Linked DNA regions of Macaca fascicularis. The protein of the gene in region 1 interacts with the protein of each later gene in a pairwise test. Links are inferred from orthologs where the notes say so. Each region holds a gene or a part of one and is shown on either strand. Other genes may lie near its edges. The genes, in order: P4HA3, melanoma-associated antigen C2, NDN and NUTM1.

The links.
Region 2: the proteins of P4HA3 (region 1) and melanoma-associated antigen C2 interact in binary tests that used the Homo sapiens proteins (3 or more experiments, as listed by UniProt). The two-hybrid records come from large-scale screens. The link is inferred for Macaca fascicularis from reciprocal best matches to the Homo sapiens genes P4HA3 and MAGEC2.
Region 3: the proteins of P4HA3 (region 1) and NDN interact in a two-hybrid assay, tested with the Homo sapiens proteins (2 studies listed by BioGRID). The link is inferred for Macaca fascicularis from reciprocal best matches to the Homo sapiens genes P4HA3 and NDN.
Region 4: the proteins of P4HA3 (region 1) and NUTM1 interact in binary tests that used the Homo sapiens proteins (3 or more experiments, as listed by UniProt). The two-hybrid records come from large-scale screens. The link is inferred for Macaca fascicularis from reciprocal best matches to the Homo sapiens genes P4HA3 and NUTM1.

Annotation. Positions count from the first base shown.
Region 1 is NC_088388.1:73,182,025-73,187,997, forward strand, and holds the start of P4HA3 (prolyl 4-hydroxylase subunit alpha-3), read right to left. Parts: upstream 3,438-5,973; 5' UTR 3,416-3,437; coding exon 3,216-3,415; intron 1-3,215. UniProt on the Homo sapiens protein: Catalyzes the post-translational formation of 4-hydroxyproline in -Xaa-Pro-Gly- sequences in collagens and other proteins.
Region 2 is NC_088395.1:148,297,383-148,302,576, reverse strand, and holds melanoma-associated antigen C2, read left to right. Parts: upstream 1-2,297; 5' UTR 2,298-2,350; coding exon 2,351-3,472; 3' UTR 3,473-3,829; downstream 3,830-5,194. UniProt on the Homo sapiens protein: Proposed to enhance ubiquitin ligase activity of RING-type zinc finger-containing E3 ubiquitin-protein ligases.
Region 3 is NC_088381.1:5,295,342-5,300,663, forward strand, and holds NDN (necdin), read left to right. Parts: upstream 1-2,432; 5' UTR 2,433-2,520; coding exon 2,521-3,486; 3' UTR 3,487-4,059; downstream 4,060-5,322. UniProt on the Homo sapiens protein: Growth suppressor that facilitates the entry of the cell into cell cycle arrest.
Region 4 is NC_088381.1:10,630,656-10,636,739, reverse strand, and holds the start of NUTM1 (NUT family member 1), read right to left. Parts: upstream 3,613-6,084; 5' UTR 3,563-3,612; coding exon 3,208-3,562; intron 1-3,207. UniProt on the Homo sapiens protein: Plays a role in the regulation of proliferation. Regulates TERT expression by modulating SP1 binding to TERT promoter binding sites.

The DNA.
Region 1 (5,973 bases):
CCAAAATTCTTGTTTTAAAAAGCAAACATAAAGGCTGGGTGCGGTAGCTCATGCTTGCAATCCCAACACTTTGGGAGTACGAGGAGGGAGGATCAATCACTTCAGGCCAGGAGTTCAAGACCAGTCTGGGCAAGAGAGCAAGACCCCGTCTCTACCAAACCAAACCAAACCAAACAAAAACAAAAACAAAAGCAAAAAAAGCCCTAACCAGGCATGGTGCGCATGGTGGTGCGCACCCGTAGTCCTAATTACCTGGTAGGCTCAGGCAGGAGGATCACTTGAGCCACAGGTTTGAGGTTACAGCGAGCTATGATAGAGCCGCTGCACTCTAGCCTGGGTGACAGAGCAAGACCCTGTCTCTTAAAAAGCAAACATTTCACTGGGTTTTAGAGCAGTCACTAGAGAACAGAATGATAGAATGCCAGTCTTCAAAATATCAAACTAAACTACAAAATTAAATGTTCGTAAGTCACCTGAGAAAATAATTGGGAACTTTTCTGATTTGTTTTTTATCTAGGCTGTCACAATCCTAGTTAATCCTCAGAGCCAAAAGTGGGGCCTAGTTTCACTAGTTGGTCTTAAAATAAAATAAAATAAAATAAAATAAAATAATAAGCATAAAGGCTTAGCATTTGTCCAGCAATTGTTACATGCCAGGCATAATGATAAATACTTTTACATGGTACTCTTAATCCTTCAACAACCCTATAGTGATAGGTACTGTGTTTATCATCATTTTAAAGATTAGGAAACTAAAGCTCAAAGAGGTAAAGTAACTTGTCCCAGATCAGAGCCAATGATTCAAACAGAGGTCTGTTAAACTCCTGAATTTACCGTTAACCACTATGTACTGTGGCCACTAGTAAAACCTCAATTAGTTAGGGGCTTGGTCTATGTCTTGGTATAACAGATAAAAGAAGCGGTAGGGATAACATAGCATAATAGGAAAAAAGTTGGATAAACAGTCAAAACAACTGTATCCTAGTCCTGGATTTGCTACCTGTTAGATTTATTAATACAATCTTGAATAAGCAACTAGACTTTAGTTTTCTTGGGTTTTAACTGATTTCTCAACAGTTAACAGTGTAATACAAATCTATTTCAAAGCACCGTGTGTGAGAGAGAATCAAATGAGATACGGTTTGTATGAGACCTCCTGCTGCGACAAAGTTGTGGCAATGATAATGGTGGAAAGACAGTGAAAGAGACCAGCATGGCGGAGTGGGGTCGGCCAGCTGCTTTGGCCAAAATGCTCTGAGTGCTCTCTTCTGAGAATGTAACCTGAAAGACCAGCACAGGGATTCTGACCCCCCACTCCCATCTCCATCTGAGCTACCCAAAGAAAGAGATTACTGGTATGAAAACAAGCATGGGTAGCAGGGAGCATGCTGGGCTCTGAAATCAAGCAGAAAAAAGTCTTTCCTATTTCCATCAATAAGCTTGGACTCCAATGACTCTGGGCTATGAACAAAAAGAAGACATTTGACTCAGTCAGCATGGACCCATAGAATACTAGACAACAATGCTATACCAAAAAGTGACAATAGTTATTGAAATGATCTTCATTTATTGTTAAAATTAATACATACCTATATTGTACATTGTCACACTATTTCAAGCTGTTTATATGCAAGCCACATACTTAAGGACAAGCACCAAATTAGCTCATTCAGTCACTATTAACAAGATCTCTCACAAATACTTTCCACCCACAAAATGCTTTTCTTCTACATAGCTCTCTCTCACAGTCATGGGGTCTCAAAGTTTTGCACAGGGTGACAATGGGTTTGGGGGTCACACTGGACCTCAGAGTCACTCCCCATTCCACATACCTTCTTCTCATGTCACCCCAGAATCAGTATTACTATCACATACACTCACGCAAAGTTTTAAAAGCAGTGCATTGTGCCGTCTTAGCTCAATGAGAAGGAGGTCACGTGATAAAGGTACAATATTAATATATCCAAATAGTGACGTGGTCATAACCACTCTGTCAGTGTTGTAGGCTTCTTCATGTCCCAAGCAGAGAAGGCGCAGCACATATTCATACAGATGGTATCATATACAATCATTTATCTTTCATTTTTCTCAGCTGGACACTGCCAAAGTCGATACATGACTATGGTGCCTCAGCATCCCAAGTCTAACAATCTTTTATGCCACAGTGTGTAGCACTAGAGTTTGTTGATTGTATATCAAAACAATATTAGCTGAGCATCCACTGCCGTGTGCTATACTCAATATCTTCTGCATCAAGTATGTTTTTTCACAGTGCTTTTTTGATATCAAATATGTTGACACACATATAACATCTCAGTTATCATTTATTTAGTATTTAGAGAGCTTCTACATGTGTAAGGAGAAGGAAGAACTGAAGACGTAGAGGGCAGTGGACATCTCTGATTCACAGTCATGGTGCTACAGACCCGAACTCCTTGAGGGCAGAGTTGGCTCTTCTTCACCATTTTATCCCCACTACCTGGAACACTGCCTGGCTCTTAGTAGGCACTCAAAAATATGTGTTCTATGAATTAATGAACTGAAGCATTATTCATATAGCGACCTGTACAGTTACTCAGCATCACTCACATGCAGAGTATGATATCCACAGCGTCGTGCCCATCCAGTGCCAATGACATGTAAATCTCACATATGGTGGAAGACTGTCACCTGACTCCTAACACTAAACTTCAGCTCACTAGGTCATGCGGTGTTTCATGATCGCCCCTTGAAAAGTCAATACTTGCATAGCTAAAGCGTCACCATATTTTCTCCATCTCACTCTCACAGTGTCTCTGTCACAGCACCGTCCACTGAGTCTGTGTCAGTGTGACACAGGGCCTGGGGATCATACAGCTTCGCACAGCACATTGTGAGGTCCTTGAGTCACCCCACCCCGCTCTTCCACAGTGCCACCGTGTGTGTTATGGAGTCTGCAGTCCCACACAGTGTGACTCAACCCTCGCCAACACCTCATGCCACGGAGTGTCGGGGTCCCACACACTGTGACAATGGGTCTGGGGGGTCACACTGGCCCTCAGAGCCACTCCCCATCCCACGCCACAATGTCTCAGTCGCACGATGCGACAGTGGGTCTGGGGTCCCACGCAGCATGACAATGAGCCTGGGGTCACACTCAACCTGAGTCACCCCACGTTGCTGCACAGTGTCTCCCACTGAGGCCCCTCGGTCGCTCCCACTCGCCGTGCCCTCACCTAGTCAGGTCCCGCAGCCGCGCCTCCTCCCCGCGCAGGTACCGCCTCAGCAGCCCCAGCAGCCGGCGTTCGGGCCCCAGGGCGCGCGCCACGCTGGTCAGTGCAGAGAACGTGTCGCCCCGCGCAGCAGCCCTTTCTGGGTCTCCTGTCCCGAGCGCCAGCACTGCCAGCAGCGCCGCCAGCCGCGCCCCTGGACCCATCGCCAGCGCTAGCGCACTTCTCAGACAGTCCTGGCCGCGCGGAGCCAGCTGCTCCTGCCCTGGCCTGCCCCGCCCCTTTCCCCGCCCCCTCCCGGCTCAGGCCCCGCCCCCTGGCCCCGGTCAGTCGCCTCCGCAGCCCAGTCTCGCCCCACGCCCCCTGCCTCCTTCCTTGTTTCGACGCGCCTCACCTCGCTCTCTAGCCCTCAGCTCCTCGGAATGCGTGGGGGCTTCCTGCAACATCAGTGTCAGCCGCCCTCCACTAAATCGCGACCCTGTGAAGGTGTTTCCACTGTGCCCATCACACTGGGAGAAATTGAGGCGGGGGCGAGGTGAGCGATGAATTCACAGGTCTAAGGCTGTGACCATCCCCAAATATTGTTAACACCATGCTGACAACATCCCTAAAATATCCGCCCCTCTGTACCATGGAGTGGGAATACACAAACACCACTGGATCCCCACAGAAGAGCCAATTTTGCGTGTGTGAATAGCTGCGCAGGCAAAGAGCGGCAAGAGGGCAGCAGGCAGGAAAACCCTCACAGAGGGCGTGACATCTGAGCCATCTGAAGGATGAGTAGGACTCTGTGAGGATGTGAGTGTATGACAAATCTAGGACTTACAGAACCTGAAACTCTGGGGTCCTGATGTCACTGCTTTACACAATATACCTAGAGTCACTTAGGCAAACAAAAATATTGCTATTATTATAGCCTACTAAGCTACTTACTCTATTTCCCCCCTCTTAATCATTTCCCAGGCAATGTTCATTCATTCAACAAATATTTATTAGCACCTATGTTAATGTGCTGACTACACAGAGAAATAGCAGATCCAATCCTGGACTCAGAGGAGGAGACAGATATGTAAACAAGTAATCACAGTAAAGTGCTGTCAGAGTAACTGAGGGTTGTGCAATGTGCAATGGCAACACTGAAGAAGGAACCCTCATCTAGCGGGTGGAGAGGGCTTCAGAGAGGAGATAATGTGTGCTGGTTCAAAAGCATGAAAAAAATTGGAAGTTGACAGGCAAGGGAGGAGTGGGCTTTCCTGGCAGAAGGTACCTGTGCGTGACAAGGTTTGGAGGTGGAAAACAGTTTGAGTTCCAGAAATGACGAGAAGTTCCTTGTGCTTGAAACTATCAGATTGCGAAGGGCCTTTGCATGCCATACTAAGAAATTTAGGTGCTTTTCCTCTATGAAAATCCAGTGGAAGTTTTTAAGGTGGTAATAATTGTAGTAACAATGGCAATAGTAAACACAGCAGTTAATACTTACTGAGTGTTTCCTGTGTGGCAGGGGCCATCCAGAGTATTTTACATATATTAACTCATTTAATTGCTGTCCAGAGTATTTTATATGTATTAACTCATTTAATTCTCATGCTGACCTTACAGCCTAGGTAGTAGTAGTATTCTTATAGTATTATTAGCCCCACTTTACCAATGAGAAGACTGAGTTGTAGGGACAATCAATAACCTACTCAATGTTAATCACTTGTGGACCACATTTGAGGTGTGCTGTAAACCAGCTGTCTAGGAAAAAAATTAAAATTCTGATTTGTGGCATTTGCCAATTTCTGTGGTGTCAATTCTCCCATAGTGGCTGATTTCAACATGAGAATATGTCATCACTGACTGCGGTTGGATAAAGATGCTAACAATCAATTCTTGCGAGCTGGGGTGAGCCAGCTCCAGCACACCACTGCTTGTGTAGACATGGAGATGTACCACGCAGATCCCCCTTCAAACAATTGTTGCACAGCTGCAGGGAATGTGATCAGAAGAGTCTCCAGCGGTCAGCTGCTTTAGGGTCTATCCTATAGCAGAGAGCAGCCTTGCCTAGGGAAATTTCCTTCCTGGGGCAACCCTAATCCAGCAACGGAGCAAGGTGAGGGAATCAAGGCCTAGCCATTTTGGTCCATCGTGAGAAAACTCTTACAGGCAATACTAGCTCCAGCATGCCTGCCACCTTGATTAAGGCTTCATCAAGCCTCTTTGACTTCTTCCTCTCCCCTTTCTTGCTTCCTTTCCCTTTCATAGATGTTGATCTCTAATAAACATCTTGCACCTCAAACTCCATCTGAGCCTCTGTTTCTAGAGAACCCAATCTGTAACATCAACTCAATCAACATACATAGTAAGTGGTAGAGAAGGGACTTGAACCCAGGTCATGTGGATCCTGATTCCATATTCTTAATTACTACCAGAGGCAGATTTACCCAGAAGGTTTTGAAGATTAAGCTTCAAGGCTCCTACCTTGCACAAACTCTTTCCAACTGAGTAGCCTTCCCATAGAAGCTGTTCTGACCAGAGATTAGGGACTGTGGTAGGCAGAATCACGCCCTCCCTCCAAAGATGTGCATGTGTTGATTCCCAAAACCCATGACTGTGTTACCTTACATGGCACAAGAGACTTTACAGATGTGATTAGGTTAAGGATCTTGACATTGGAGGATTATGCTAGTTTATCTTGGTAGTCCCAATGCAATCATGAGGGTCCTTAAAAGTCATAGAAAGAAATGTGACAATGGAAGCAAAGTCAGAAAGATTTAAAGATATT
Region 2 (5,194 bases), on another chromosome or scaffold:
TCCATGCATTTTCCAAAATACATATAACTTCACATTCTAGTTAAATCTGATGTGTGTATTTAAAACTTTAATCACGCATTGTTTTTTTAAAGGGTCACGGGTTGCTGAAAAGACAGTGATTTTTGTTCAGGGACTAGAATAGGAAAAGAAGCAACAATAAGGAAGTCTTTAACACACAGGCTATGGGAGAGATGATATTAACTTCACTCACAGCAGTAAAGTAGAAAAACTTGGAATGGAATTTAGAAGTTGAAGGAACAAATGTTGCTGTCTGGACAGGAGAAGGAAGGAGTATAGGCTCTTTTAGAAGTAATACCTTGAGAAAGCCATAGGGGCCTTCCCACCCCATTTCAGAGGGCAGTGGAGGCCTGCCTTAGGGCCAGGAGGCCTATCCCACTGTGGGTGGATGTGATTCTACTTCTCTTCCACCTTGCAGGTCTCAGGGATGGGAGGGGCTTATTCGCAGGTGAAAGACTCAGATGCACAGAGACAGGGAGTCCAGGCCATTTCAGGAGTCCAGGCACAGCCTCTCAGGAGGGCAGGAAGGGAACACCCATGACCGGTAGTGCCCTCTGTCCTGTCCCTGTGCCTGCTGCCAACTCTGGAGGACCCCATCAGGGTCCCCAGATGTACAATTTTCTTACTTCTATTTTGGGAGTCAGCAGAAGGGGAGGCTGTCTCTGAGGAGGGCAGCTTCAGTTAAGCAGAGAGAGAAGTCCCAGAACTGGCCAGAAAACAAGAAGAGATGTGGAAGGACGGTGATCTCCCAACACGGAGGGGAGGTGCAGGCTGCACCAAGTCGCTCCCTGCTGACACCCCTGGAAAAAGGAGGGTGGGATGTCAAGGACTGGGGAGGTGGGAGTGAAAAGGTCCACAAGGTTTAGGGAGTGAGCAGGAAGGGTTGGAGGGCAGCTGGGATGTGGGAAGGAAGGGATGGAAAAGAAGCGGAGAGGTGGGGAGTGGTTCCTTCTCAGAGAGGAGGCCCCGCCCCACGTTGACGCTGCCGTCAGCCCTGGACCACTACGGCCGGGTTCCCGGATGTGCTTTCCAGACGGCCATCTTGGGAATCTAAAGGATCGGAGGCATTTTGCAAGGAGATTCGAATCAAGTCAGCTGCGGGGAGTCTTAGACCTGGCCAGTCCACAAGGTGAGGGCCCTGAGGAAGAACTGAGGGACCTCCCACCATAGAGAGATGAAATCCCGGCCTGCACTGCCGCTGCAGTGGGACTGGTAGGTCCCAGACAGGAAAATGCCCACAGAAGAAGGGAGGAGGTGCCAGCCCTCTAGGGAATAAATAGGAAGACATTGAGGAGGACTGGGGGAACCCCCATCTCAGAGGACAGATTCCCACAGATTCCCACCCTGCTCCTCGAGAATCAGCCCTCGTAGAACTCCCCTGCCAGCTCAGGCTGAGTGGCAGCCATCTCATTTCTGGGTGAGGGGTGGAGGGGAGGCAGAGGCCTTGTTCTGGGGGTCCCGTGGCAAGTCAGCACGGGGAGCTGCCTCTGGTTGGCAGAGGGAAGATTCCCAGGCCCTGCTGGCGATAAGACAGAAGACAGGAGTCACATGTGCATCAGAACGGACGTGAGGCCACCCAGACCACCTCCATGGTAGAGTCCTGGGAGGTGGCTGCCACTGCACTACCTCCCACTGCTCTCAGGGATGTGGAGGTTGCTAGGAGGTTTTGCCTTAGGCCAGCAGAGTGGTGGGGGCTTGACCCTCTCTGAGAAGCCGTGAGGTTTCCAATTAAATTCTGAGGGGGCCATGCAGTCCAGAACTATGGGGCTCTGGGATTCTGGCCAGCCCCAGCTGTCAGCCCTGGGAGGCCCAAGACTCTACTTGTAGTCTTTAACCTGAGGGGCTCCGTCACTTCCTCTTGCAGGTGCTCCAGGAACCAGGTGGTGACAAACTGGGTGTGAGGCACACATCCTAAAGTCAGCACAGCAGAGGAGACCCAGGCAGTGCCAGGAGTCAAGGTGAGTGCACACCCTGACTGTGTACCAAGGGCCGTACCCCCAGAAACAGAGGAGACCCCACAGCACCCGGCCGTACCCACCTACTGTTATTCCTGGGGTCTCAGGCTCTGCCTGCCAGCTGTGCCCTGAGGTGTGTTCCCACATCCTCCTACAGGTTGCCAGCAGACAAACTCCCTAGGAAGACAGGAGACCTGTGAGGCCCTAGAGCACCACCTTAAGAGAAGAAGAGCTCTAAGTTGGCCTTTGTCAGAGCCATCATGGGTGAGTTTCTCAGCTGAGGCCATTCACACTGTCACTCTCTTCCACAGGCCTGTTGGATCTCATCATCCATATCCCTGTTGATACCTTTACCTGCTGCGCCTGAAGAAGTCGTTATGCCTCCCATTCCGGGCGTTCCATTCCACAACGTTGACGACGACTCTCCGGCCTCAGTTGAGTCAGAGGACTGGGTAGATGCACAGGATCCCACAGATGAGGAAGAGGAGGAAGCCTCCTCCATTTCCTCTTCCACTTTCTACTTAGTATTTTCCCCCTCTTCCTTCTCCTCATCCTCTTCTCTGATTCTTGGTGGTCCTGAGGAGGAGGTGCCGTCTGATGTGATACCAAGTCTTCCCGAGAGCACTCCCAGTAGTCCTCCACAGAGTCCTCCACAGGGTCCTTCCCAGAGTCCTCTGAGCTCCTGTTGCTCCTCTTTTTCATGGAGCTCATTCAGTGAAGAGTCCAGCAGCCAAAAAGAGGAGGATACAAGTACCTGTCAGGGCCTGCCAGACAGTGAGTCCTCTTTCACACATACACTAGATGAAAAGGTGGCCGAGTTAGTGGCGTTCCTGCTCCTCAGGTACAAAGCAGAGGAGCCTGTAACAGAGGCAGAGATGCTGATGATTGTCATCAAGTACAAAGACTACTTTCCTGTGATACTCAAGAGAGCCCGTGAGTTCATGGAGCTCCTTTTTGGCCTTGCCCTGATAGAAGTGGGCCCTGACCACTTTTCTGTGTTTGCAAACACAGTAGACCTCACTGATGAGGGTAGTGATGATGAGGGCATGCCGGAGAACAGCCTCCTGATTATTATTCTGAGTGTGATCTTCATAAAGGGCAGCTTTGCCTCTGAGGAGGTCATCTGGGAAGTGCTGAATGCAATAGGGGTGTATGCTGGGAGGGAGCACTTCATCTATGGGGAGCCCAGGGAGCTCCTCACTAAAGTTTGGGTGCAGGGGCAATACCTGGAGTGTCGGGAGGTGCCAAACAGTTCTCCTCCATATTATGAATTCCTGTGGGGTCCGAGAGCCCATTCAGAAAGCATCAAGAGTAAAGTACTAGAGTTTTTAGCCAAGCTGAACAACACTGTCCCTAGTTCCTTTCCATCCTGGTACAAGGATGCTTTGAAAGATGTGGAAGAGAGAGCCCAGGCCATGACTGATACCACAGATGATGCCACTGTCATGGCCACTGAAAGCCTCAGTGTCATGTCCAGCAACCTCCCCTTTTCTGAGTGAAGTCTAGGATAGTTTCTGCGCTCTGTGTTTGAACAAGGCAGTTTAGGTTCTAGGTAGTGGAGGGCCAGGTGGGGCTCGAGGAACATAATGTTCTTTGCATTTCTGTCCCATATGGGCGATGTGGAGATTTACCTGTTTTTCAGTACTTTTTGAATGCTTTTCCTTTGAATAGCAGGTAGTTAGCTTCAGAGCATTAATTTATGAATATTGGTCACACATGTATTGCTGTTTATCTGGTTTAAGAGTAACAGTTTGATATTTTGTTTAAAAAAAATGGAAATACCTTCTCCCTTATTTTGTGATCAGTAACAGGGTAGTGTGGTATTGTAATAGGCTTTTTGTTTGTTTGTTTGTTTGTTTGTTTGTTTTTTACAATACGCAATAACTCAGCAGTTAAATAGTGGGACAACGTGAAGGATGGTCAATATTTTCATTTCCTTGTCCTGCTTATTCTTTTGTTCTTGAAAATTAAAGATATATACCTGGCTTTGCTTAGCTTGTTGAAGAAAGTAGCAGAAATTAAATCTTAATAAAAGAAAGCCCCACTGACTCCTTTATTTGCTGAGCATTCTTTCAGTATTTGCTTGTGGAAGTCACTGTTAGTAGTGGGGATGCTAATGAAAGCATGACTTATCTCTATCCATAAAACAGTAGAGTCTAGGAGCAGAAGCCATATCAAGAAGGTGGTAAGATGTTCTCTACAATCTAAAGAACAAGTTAAAAAGGGGCTGGGGAGGTGAGACTCCACATGCAAGCCTTCAAGTGTAAAGGTCTTGAGCTAAGGCAGCTTGGGGCTTTGGAAAACTGCAGTTGCTTTTCTGAGGGCTGGTAGTTACAAAGCTGGGTGGTGGCTGGGACCAGACTCTCGGAGGGTGAGGGAAGAGCCTGGAATGGGGAATTGCTCTGAGCAGTTGCTTCTGGGTGGAGGATGAAGCAGAGAGGAGTCTCCACATGGGGAAGTAATGGAAGGTGTCCTGTGGCTCTGTAACTGGTGAGTTTGAACACAGTGCAAGAACCAGGTGATTGATATCCATCATCTGCAAGGGTTTCCTGAGAAATGTAGTGATAATCCCTTGAAGTGGTGCCCAGAAGCCTCTAGGCTGACTCACTTACCTGGGAGAGCCAGAGCCTACTCCATGGAAAGGCCATTTAATTAGGTGATTTTGAATCTAATGTGGGCAACTCCAAGCAAGGGCTAGATTTTTAGTGGAGGATACATAAAACTAGTGCTTTGGATGGATGAGCATTGGGGAAGGCGAAAAGGAGTTGGTCCTTGACTCAAATTCCAGGATCATTGAGTCGCATTCCACTTGGGGAATTCTCTACTTACCCAAATTATACAATATATCATTTTGGAAAGAGAATGGACTGAGTTTCATTTATGAAGCCGGATTTTTGGTTGAGTTGGTACTCCATGACATATTCAGCTACATATGCTCTGAGATGTTTTAGATCAGAAAACAAGAGTGAAATTTTTCATAAAAGACAGTGGTAGCCTTGGGGTTATAATTACATCGGTAACTGCCATTTGTTAAAATTCCAATCTATGCTTGGCACTGTGCCAGGTGTTTTACTCACATTATAAACATCCAGCAATTCTACAAGACAGGGCTTAGGAAACCCCTTTTACAGATGAAGAACCTGAGGCGCATAGTCCTTGATAAATTCAGTAAGATCACATGGTTACAAAGTGACAGGGCTGGCACTTGAGCCTTGCTCTGA
Region 3 (5,322 bases), on another chromosome or scaffold:
TTACATCTCGGAGGGTGAAATGTGAGAATGTAGTTTGAATGAGATCACAATGTTAAAAACCATAGCCTACGGCCAAAGCTAAGTTGAGATTTAAATAGTAGGTTCAAACACTTTTATTATTAAAAAAATGTCAAACGAACTAAATATTTTTTTCTTTATGTATTTAATTTTTGAGACAGTCTTGCTCTGTTGCCCCGGCTGGAGTGCAGTGGCATGCTCTCAGCTGACTGCAAACTCCACCTCCCAGGTTCAAGTGAGTCTCCTGCCTCAGCCTCCCAAGTAGCTGGGATTAAGGGCATCTGTCATCACACCCGGGTAATTTTTGTATTTTTAGTAGAGACGGGGTTTTGCCATGTTGTCCAGGCTGGTCTTGACCTCCTGACTTCAGGCGATCTGCCCGCCTTGCTTTCCCAAAGTCCTGGGATTACAGGCGTGAGCCACCGCACCTGGCCTAAATATTTTATTTAAATAGTTAGAAAATAATACATACCCAAATAAAATAAAGAAGAATATTGATGGAGATTTAAATGCAATAAATGAGGATTATATTTAAGAAGCATGGGGGCAATAAGTCTGTTCAAGAGACATTCTTTTTTTTTTTTTTTTTTTTTTTGAGATGGAGTCTCACTCTGTCGCCCAGGCTGGAGTGCAGTGGCCGGATCTCAGCTCACTGCAAGCTCCGCCTCCCGGGTTTATGCCATTCTCCTGCCTCAGCCTCCCGAGTAGCTAGGACTACAGGCACCCGCCACCTCGCCCAGCTAGTTTTTTTGTACTATTTAGTAGAGACGGGGTTTCACCGTGTTTGCCAGGATGGTCTCGATCTCCTGACCTTGTGATCGGCCCGTGTCGGCCTCCCAAAGTGCTGGGATTACAAAACAATGAATTAGCATATTTCTGTAAGATGCTCCCAAGAAAGTGGTAAATATCCATAAATAGAGGAAGGAGAAGGAGAAGGAGACGGAGAGAAGAAGGACGAGGTGGAGGAGGAAGAGGAGAAGGAGAAAAGTGTTGAAATAATTCCAACTAAGACTGATATCTAGGAATTACCCTGGTGAAGTGGGAAGCTAAAGAGCCTGTTGGAAGGACTGGTGTGGGAATGGCTCTGCCAAAAGTGTTATGTGCATGCAAACCCAAAGAGAGAGAGCACAGAAAACCCTTCAACATCAACCTGCTTGAGGAAAAATAAAGTGACAAGTGGGAAAAGATATATACTCACAGCGAGGACTCTAGACATGTTAAGACAATTTTTAAATGTGCTTTTGGCTTCGAGTGGCAATAATTAGACTCAACATATTTAAGAAGCTACTGATGAGAAGAAACCCTGGAAGCGCTGAAGGACCACATCAGCCCAGACCAAGGATGCTGAAGCAGCATCAAGGCCCTTGGTTTCAGAGGCTCCACCAATGACCCTTTTTTCATGGAGAGCCTGTAGGAGCGAGTTTTGTCTTTGCCCAGTGGGAATCTGTCTTCTATACTTGGAAAACAGGGTTACCCATGTTGCCCCTGCTACCCTTGGGTCATCTCAGAGACACTACCAGATATTACCTATGAGACCTAGTTGTTTTTTTTTTTAAATCTCAGGAAGGACTTGGGTGTGGCTTCCAACGTGGAGGACTCAGTAGCTTCAGAGAGGGTCCTGGGAGAAGGTGAATCGGAGAATAAGGGTGCTGGGCAGAGGGAAAAAGACATTATCATACAAGTTTGTGCTAAAAGATATAGCAATCCTTCTGCTATGGACTAAGTATGGAAAAAAATAAAATGGAATCAAAGTGACCCAAAGGAAATGTAAAACCCAAATTTATGCCCACTAAAGCATTAATGATGCTCTAAGTCCGCTGCCTACTTAAAAGGTTCATAGTTCACATGGGTTGACAGGAAATTACGTTAAGGACACGCTGCATTTCTCCTTTTCTTACAACCCCTCTGATTTGGTAGGGAGGGAGTCAATCATTTTTTATTGGAATTTCTCAGGATTCCAACCTCAGACATACACTTTACACATTTTCTTGGACAAGCCCGACTGTTCCTCTCACTCGTTCGCATAAAGCTCAAGTTTACACAGCCGCCCAGACCTTTCTCTGGGACGCTCATATTTAACTTAATTCTGGATATATCAGGTAAGCGTTTCCCAAGAAACTTGACCCCAACATCCCAAAAACTTAAGTTATCATCTTTCTCCTAAACTGGCCCCTTCTCCAGTACGCATCCATCGCACTCTTCTCCTGCCCTAGATCCCCTCAGCCCAAACGGGAAACCCCGGGATCGCTCTCTCCGCAGGTGAAGCTTAGCCAGGGACCCTCCCCGTCGGGGCTCCGCGCTGCCCCGCCCGCCCCCAGCCGCTGGCCAAGGCCGCAGTCGCGCAGGCGCAGTGCCGCGTCCCGCCGCCGCCCCGCCCTGCCCGCCGCTGCGGAAGGCGCCGCGCACAGCAACGCGCACTTCCTCTCCAGGAATCCGCGGAGGGAGCGCAGGCTTGAAGAGCTCCTGGACGCAGAGGCCCTGCCCTTGCCAGACGGCGCAGATATGTCAGAACAAAGTAAGGATCTAAGCGACCCTAACTTTGCAGCCGAGGCCCCCAGCTCCGAGGTGCACAGCAGCCCTGGGGTTCCGGAGGGGGTTCCTCCGTCCGAGACCCTGGCAGAGCCGCAGAGCCCTCCTTTAGGCCCGACGGCCGCCCCGCAGGCCGCGCAGCCTCCCCAGGCCCCGAGCGACGAGGACGACCCGAAGGCCCTGCAGCAGGCCGCGGAGGAGGGCCGCGCCCACCAGGCCCCGAGCGCGGCCCAGCCCGGCCCGGCCCCGCCAGCCCCGGCGCAGCTGGTGCAGAAGGCGCACGAGCTCATGTGGTACGTGCTGGTCAAGGACCAGAAGAAGATGATCATCTGGTTTCCAGACATGGTGAAAGATGTCATCGGCAGCTACAAGAAGTGGTGCAGGAGCATCCTCCGGCGCACCAGCCTCATCCTCGCCCGGGTGTTCGGGCTGCACCTGAGGCTAACCAGCCTGCACACCATGGAGTTTGCGCTGGTCAAAGCGCTGGAGCCCGAGGAGCTGGACAGGGTGGCGCTGAGCAACCGCATGCCCATGACAGGTCTCCTCCTCATGATCCTGAGCCTCATCTACGTGAAGGGCCGCGGCGCCAGAGAGAGCGCGGTCTGGAACGTGCTCCGCATCCTGGGGCTGCGGCCCTGGAAGAAGCACTCCACCTTCGGGGACGTGCGGAAGCTCATCACTGAGGAGTTCGTCCAGCAGAATTACCTGAAGTACCAGCGCGTCCCGTACGTGGAGCCGCCCGAGTACGAGTTCTTCTGGGGCTCCCGGGCCAGCCGCGAAATCACCAAGCTGCAAATCATGGAGTTCCTGGCCAGGGTCTTTAAGAAAGACCCCCAGGCCTGGCCCTCCCGATACAGAGAGGCTCTAGAGGAGGCCAGAGCTCTGCGGGAGGCTAATCCCGCTGCCCACTGCCCTCGCAGCAGTGTCTCCGAGGACTAGCCAAGTCTGGAGGCAGATGAATGCTTTCTGATCCTCACCAGGGCTGTGGAAGGGTGGGGGTGGGTCATTAGAGTGTTCAGGATTTACAGTGCAGTATTCACGTGTAACTTTTACGTTTCCAGTACAGTGCTTTTATACCTTTAATGCAATGTTGTATTCATTTGGGTACTATTGTGTAGTATTTAGGATGTATGCATGTTTGTTTATATGTAAGCTTGGTTGGTGCTTTCGCTTTTGTGGTACCTTTCTTGGATTTTTGTATCAGAGACGTGCTAAACTGATGAAGTACATTGAGAACGTTTCCATCTTATTAATTTACATGGGACTGAGATGTGTGTTGGGGTAGACTGCTCCTGCAGAGTTTGGAAAAACTCACCAGCAAAGCCGGCCTAACCAAGAAATGTCAAGGCCCTCATGACCTTGCTGGGGACTGAAAACATCCTCGTGGCGTAAACTAATTTGAACTGGACTGGTCTCAATGTGAGAGCACTTGGCACACTTTACTAAACACATATACAACCCCACCGTGAGTCAACTTTAAAGTAAACATTAAAGATTCTTGTGATACAATCATTTCTGGAAGTGTACGTTATCATTTTAACAAAGCAGTATGGTTGGGAATGAGACAATTCTCTGTTTTACAGTATACACAGATATAACTGTTTCCCCTAATGGGGTGGGAAAAATCGCTACTCATGATTACTCCTAAATTTGTGAAGTTTGTGGTTTTGTCTTTAACTCATGTTTATTTCAAAAACATGCACAAATATAGAAAAGCATAAAAAACAAAACAGTAAGATTGTCCATAATCACATCCTATGGGAATAAAAACCAAAAATAATTTCCTTAAGTTTCTACATTTTATCAAAATTAATAGATGCTTTGTGGGCACTTAAAGAGTGAGACATTGTACATGAGCCCTGACGTGTATTTTTCTCCTTTTATCTAATCCTCACAACAGGCCTGTCAGGCAGGCAAGAACTGCCTCTGCACCATGGAGGAAACACAGGAATAATGTAGGTAATGGACTTTCCATAGCTCATACAGGTTAATAAGAGAAGGCGCTAGGACTAGAACTCACAATGAATCCAGAGTCCACATTTGTCCCCACCTGCCTTCAACTCCCCTACACCCTGTGGTTTTTAGGTTATTTATTTTCAACTTTATATTGAAATTTCATGTGGGAGCCCACACTCACATGGGTTCATGGGCCACACATACAAAAAGGCTAGGAATTTTATTTTTCTAATTCTTAGGATATTTTGGAGAAAGCAATATCATTCTGATTCTGCAAATTAAGAAACTTACTTTTGGAGAGATTAATTAACCTAATGAAGTGATATTCCTGTTGAGCAGTGAAGCTGGGATTGGAAACAATCTTTCCTGAGGGTTGGAGGTGAAGGTGCTTTCTCTGACAAACACACAAGACACCTAAGAGAGGGAGGTGGGTTGCCCTCAGGACGTCTCGGGCCTCGCAGCCCTCGAGTTGCGGTGAGCCACTGGGTAATCCTCAGAGGATGGGATGGGCTGCGAGTGGGCTTTAGGGGCAATGCCTGAAGGAAAATCTCGTTGTGAATTTTTAGTCCTGCAAGGGGTAAGGGGGAGAAAAGGGGCTTTAACAAGAACAGAAGTCCTTTAAACTACAAAAGAGTGGGAAAGACCATTTGGCCAAAGCCAGAAACTTTTCTGTGGAAGACTAATAATGAAGAGGACACGTGTCACATAACACCTCAAAGAAGTAAACTGGGAGTCCTATTAGGGTGAGGGAATTATAATTTGGATTGGGAGCTGGAATTCCCAACACTTACTGGCATTACTTAACAGGTGGGGGCGGGT
Region 4 (6,084 bases), on another chromosome or scaffold:
AGTGCAGAGATAACAGGTATGAGCCACCACACCTCATCTGAGTTCCTCTTTAGACTCGAAGACTCAAAGCACTGATTCTCAACAGGTGAAAGAGGGGATAAGGATGGGGAACTTGTGTAGTTGGCAAATGTCCCCCAAGTGATTTTGATCTTCCTCCTCGTTGAGAATGACTGCATTAAAGAAGCTGCTGCTTTTTCAAGAAGACACACAGACCCCTGTCTGCCAAGAAGAGACAAGCCTGAGCCATCACTGCCTCTAAAGTGTTGCTTTTTCTTTCTTTCTTTCTTTTTAGATGGAGTCTTTCTGTGTCACCCAGGCTGGAGTGCAGTGGCACGATCTTAGCTCACTGCAACCTCTGCCTCCCAGGTTCAAGTGATTCTCCTGCCTCAGCCCCTCAAGTAGCTGGGATTACAGACGTGAACCACCACATCCGGCTAATGTTTGTATTTTTAGTAGATACAGGGTTTATGCCATGTTGGCCAGGCTGGTCTCAAAAACCTGACCTCAGGTGATCCACCTGCTTCGGCCTCCTAAAGTGTTGGGATTACGGGCGTGAGCCACTGCACCCGGCCCCTCTAAGTGCTTCTCTAAGAAAATTCCTGGCAGACCTCTCCAGCCTCTCCGTAGGCTGTTTACTAAGATACAGAATTGGGTTGACACCTGCTCTGCAGGGAAAACAGCCCACAGCGGCCTCCGTGCAGTAAGGGAACTAGTCCACGGTAAGCTCCAGCCCCTCTCGAGGCATCCATAAGGCCTTTGAGAAGGAGGCACTTTCAAAAATATGACTGGCTCATTCCCTCCTCCTTTTCCTTTTCCTGTTGCTTCTTATAAATCTCTCTTAACCTAAAACAACAGAAGAAAGATTCAATCTATAAGCAGGAGCATGAGCCCATGAAGCTCAGACATCCTGTAACACATTCCACCCAGCATTCCACGTACATCCCCTATGCTCACCTATTCCAAACCAGAGACTCAAACCACCTGAACCCTGCTTCTCCCAGCTGCTCTGTGGCCTCTGCCACCACGCACAGAAGTACTGTTCCCAGGAGAGGATATGTGGATTGGATGTTTGGTTCCCAGAAATTTTGTTGTATAACAGCCAGGAATAATTAGAGAGGATTAGATAAGGACAAGGAAATGAGTGAAGGGAGGGCGGTGTGGGGAGAGAGGTTTCCAGATCTTTAAGTAACTGCTGGACGTGTTTGGCGATGCAGACTATCTGTGGCCCTTCTGCTTGGAGCTCCTAACATCAGAAATTTAGGGCTCACTAGGAACGAGGCACTGAGCTAGGTGCTAAGGACAGGACAATGAAGTCCTTCATTGTCACTGGTTCCAGCTGGGGAGGGGCTATGTGGACTCTAGTCAAAGAGACCAAGGATAAGTATACAAATGTGTACTTAATCAGAACCTATGTCTCCTAGGACTTTTTTTTTTTCCCCGAGACAGAGTCTCTGTCACCGAGGCTGGAGTGCAGTGGCGCGATTTCAGCTCACTGCAACCTCTGCTGCCTCCTGGGTTCAAGCGATTCTCCTGCCTCAGCCTCCCTAGTAGCTGGGATTACAGGCGGGCGCCAACACACCCAGCTAATTTTTGTATTTTTAGTAGAGATGGGGTTTCACCATGTTGGCCAGGCTGGTCTTGAACTCCTGACCTCAAGTGATCTACCTCCCTCGGCTTCCCAAAGTGCTGAGATTACAGGCGCTTGAGGTCAGGAGTTAGACACCAGCCTGGCCAACTTGGTGAAACCCCGTCTCTCTAAAAATACAAAAATTAGCTGGGTGTGGTGGTGGGCGCCTGTATCCCAGCTGCTCAGGAAGCTGAGGAAAGAGAATTGCTTGAACTCGGGAGGCAGACTTTGCAGTGAGCTAGCATCACACCACTGCACTCCAGCGTAAGCGACACAGTGAGACTCCATCTCAAACAAAAAAACAAAACAGGAAAACAACAGCAGAATATCACCTGCTTAAATCTCCTCCCCCTTACAAAAAATATTACACTGTCAAACTAACAACACCCAACTTCTGCATTCTGACCATGGCACACAAGCAAACTCAGATTCAAACTCATTTCAGCCACAGAGCAAAGGGCTGAGGGTATGTCGCTGAGTACAGAACACAATGAAAGGGGCCTGAAGGCCTGAGATCCATAAAAGGAAGAAAAACTAAGAGCATCTCGGTGAAGCCCCAGATCTCATCCTGGCTGTAATGACCCACCTCTCTGGCCCGGATGAATCCGGAAAAACTGCTTCCTGAACTCAAAGCGAAGCCACCTCTAGGGCTGGAAGGAGCCGTGAGGCTCTGAGCAGAGGCAGGATTTTTCTTTTTTTTTTTTTTTTGAGACCGAGTTTCGCTCTTGTTGCCTAGGCTAGAGTGCAATGACACAATCTTGGCTCACCACAACCTCTGCCTCTCAGGTTCACGGGATTCTCCTGCCTCAGCCTCCCGAGTAGCTGAGATTACAGGCATGCGCCACCATGCCCGGCTTTTTTTTTTTTTTTTTTTTTTTTTTTTTGTAGTTTTAGTAGAGATGGGGTTTCTCCATGTTGGTCAGGCTGGTCTTGAACTCCTGACCTCAGGTGATCCGCCCGCCTCGGCCTCCCAAAGTGCTGGGATTACAGGCATGAGCCACCGTGCCCGGCCAGAGTAGAGGCAGTTTATAATACATTCCAGCCTAGTTTTCAGGAAGGCATTTCTCTGCAACGGATAACTACAGATTATGTTTTCCCGCTAAAGTCCTTCCCACCTTACCCTCCCATCCTCCATCCTCCACATCCCATTCCCCTCATAGGCTCAAGCATGGCAAAATCCTAGAATAGGCTCCAGTTGCCTGAAAGAGACAGATGAATGAACGTGGGCATTCCCCCTTGAAACCTCTCGGTGCCAGTCCTAAGACACATACCTCTGATCCCCTCTCCCACCACAAGAACACACGCTGACGTGCCCCCTGTTCAAGAGAATCAAGTTGCTAATTGCCATCCATTCTCTATACTCAGCATGTGTCCTCGGAGACACCTTGATCTGCCCTTAAGGAGGTCCTCTTCCTTCCCCGGCCCCTAGTCTTAATGGTACAGTCTCCTTCTCTAGCCTCCCCAAGTGGGATACCTTTGATGGGGTGTAGCACCTCGCATTCCTTTAGGTCAGCCCAAAGAGCTTGTCCCAAAGGATTTGAGCAGGTACCAGAAATCCTCCTCACCACCTAAAGACTTACCTCCATCTGAAGCCATCCTCTCAGCTTTGGGCACTAACCGTGGCTGTCTGGAAGCCTCCAGAATGAGGCAGTCAGGTCCAGGACCCAGAGTAACCTGGCTCCAAGTAGGTGCACAGGGATCCAAGGAAGGGAAGGTAAAGATCAGATCAAACAGAACTAGAATATGGAACTCAAGGCAGTCTGCTGTGGGGGAGGGGAGAGGGGAAAGTGGGGTGAGGGTGGGGAGAGATATTCCATGAAGGGTTCTAGTAACTACGCAAAAACCAGGAATTCCCTTCAAACTACAGTTTGGCAACACAACTGATGTTCGCCCTTTAGGGCTATTTGTAAATTCTTTCTCAGATTCCCAACACATTACAGTTTTGAGTTTGGTTCCCTATACTTCAATTCTTCACCAACATATCTCATTTTGTGTCCTTCCATCCCAGCCAGTTCTGTAACTGACTTCCTATTAACAGCAGGTCGATGGTAGACCCCTGACTTAATCCAATGATGGCTATATTTTCTGAACTAAATTCAGACCACATTGGTCTGTATACTTAAGGATCAAGGGAACTAAAGTCTAAAATTAGAATTGTCAGATGATCCAAGGTGCTCAATTGCTGTGTGCACATCATTTCCTTGGAAAGCTGTCCAATCTACTAGCATAGGCTCTGTACTCCACAGAAGCCTTACCCTTTGCTGAAAAGCCTCACTAAATAAAAAAGCTGCCATGCAGTTTAAAACCTCAAGAGTAGAAAGTCCTTCGTTTTGTTAAATTATTTTGGTTTAAATTTTAAAAATAAAATGTATCTGCTAAGGTTCCTGGTGACTATTTCAGGCCAGTAATTCCCAGACCATCCTCTACAGCCACAGCTTCATCCAAACGTGGATTTCCCCCAAAAGACCTTCCCTGGGGTTCATGGCGTCTTTCTTGCTTTCTCTGAGATATCTTTTCTCTTTTCTAAAGACTCTTTCATTAATAAGACCTGAAGGCTGAAATCATCCTTTTCCTTTCTAACAAAATTAACTACTTAGACATACTTTTTTTTTTTTTTTGAGACAGAGTCTTGCTTTGTCGCCCAGGTTGGAGTGCAGTGGCATGATCTCTGCTCACTGCAAGCTCTGCCTCCCGGGTTCACACCATTCTCCTGCCTCAGCCTCCTGAGTAGCTGGGACTACAGGCGCCCGCCACCACACCCGGCTAATTTTTCTATTTTTAGTAGAGACGGGATTTCACTGTGTTAGCCAGGATGGTCTCGATCTCCTGACCTCATGATCCACCCACCTCGGCCTCCCAAAGTGCTGGGATTAGAGGTATGAGCCACCGCGCCCGGCCTTTAAAAAATTTTTAACAGGTAATACATTAGCAAGGTTCAAAAATCAAACTACAAAATAAAATACATAGCAATAAGTCTGCCTCCCACCCCTTACCCCTTTCTCCTGTAACTAGGTTCTCTATCTCAGAGGAAACCAGTATCATCTGTTTCTTGTGAATAATTGCAGAGATTTTTTATTCAACTACAAGTAAATACAAACCATATCTTTTTTTTTTTTTTTTGGGACAGGGTCTCTTGCTCTGTCACCCAAGCTGGAGACCAGTGGCGTGATCTCAGCTCACTGCAACCTCCGCCTCCCGGGTTCAAGCGATTCTCCTGCCTCAGCCTCCCGAGTAGCTGGGACTACAGGTGACCGCCAGCACGTCCCGCTAATTTTTGTATTTTTATTAGTAAAGACGGGGTTTCACCATATTGGCCAGGCTGGTCTTGAACTCCTGACCTTGTGATCCACCTGTCTCGGCCTCTCAAAGTGCTGGGATTACAGGCCTGAGCTACTGCACCCGGTCACAAACCATATTCTTTTTTTCAGACGGAGTGCCACTCTGTCACCCAGGCTGGTGTGCAGTGGCGCTATCTCAGCTCGCTGCAACCTCTGCCTTCCCGGCTCAAATGACTCTCCTGCCTCAGCCTCTGAAGTGGCTGGGACTACAGGCGCCCACCACCACACTCAGCTAATTTTTTCTGTATTTTTAGTAGAGACGGGGTTTCGCCAGATTGGCCAGGCTGGTCTCGAACTCTTGACCTTGTGATCCGCCCGCCTCAGCTTCCCAAAGTGTTGAGATTACAGGCGTGAGCCAACGCGCCCGGCCAAACCATATTCTAAAAAAAAAAAAACCTTGCAGGTTTTTCTGGTTACACAACATATATGCCAACGCTTTTGTCATTATAAATAAGGCGTAATGATGATCTTTGTAATTATATTTTGGTTCTCATTTTCATTTCTTTAAACGAATAAGGAGAACTTCTATATTCTTTAAAAAATTGTAAAATCTCCTAGAAGGTGCACTTTATTACGCTATTATTAGCTACTCACCACTGTAAGAAAGAGCGCTGAATTTGCGGTAGGGACCTAAGTTTAAATCTTGGTTCGACCGCTGAAACATACTTCGTTTCATAAAATAACTTTACGCTATTTTCGCTTTACGGAATATTGATACTCAACATGCATTCTTTACCGCCAACGTTTTGAAATGGAGCAGGGAAACTGGATGTAAAAGAGGGGAGGGAAGAAAACCTCTTCCTTCTTCCCTAGGGCAAAGGGGCTCTGAATCCTGGAGCCCTTGTTTCTTCAGGCACTGGAAACTCACTGCTCCTGAAATGGGTATGTATCTTGAGATAAAGACAAGCTTCTATACGTCAATGTTCTATCCACATCCATCCCTACCCCCCTCTAGCGCCGTGTACCTAGCACACAGTAGGCACACTCCACGTGTTTTAGCCTGCAAAGTTGCAAGTGTGGCCCCCCAAGCCAAGCCCTGCCCTCGTGCGCCCCCTTCTGGCTAGCTGAAAATAAGGCAAAAATTGACTACATTTTCCGGCGTGCCAGGAGAGAGACTTC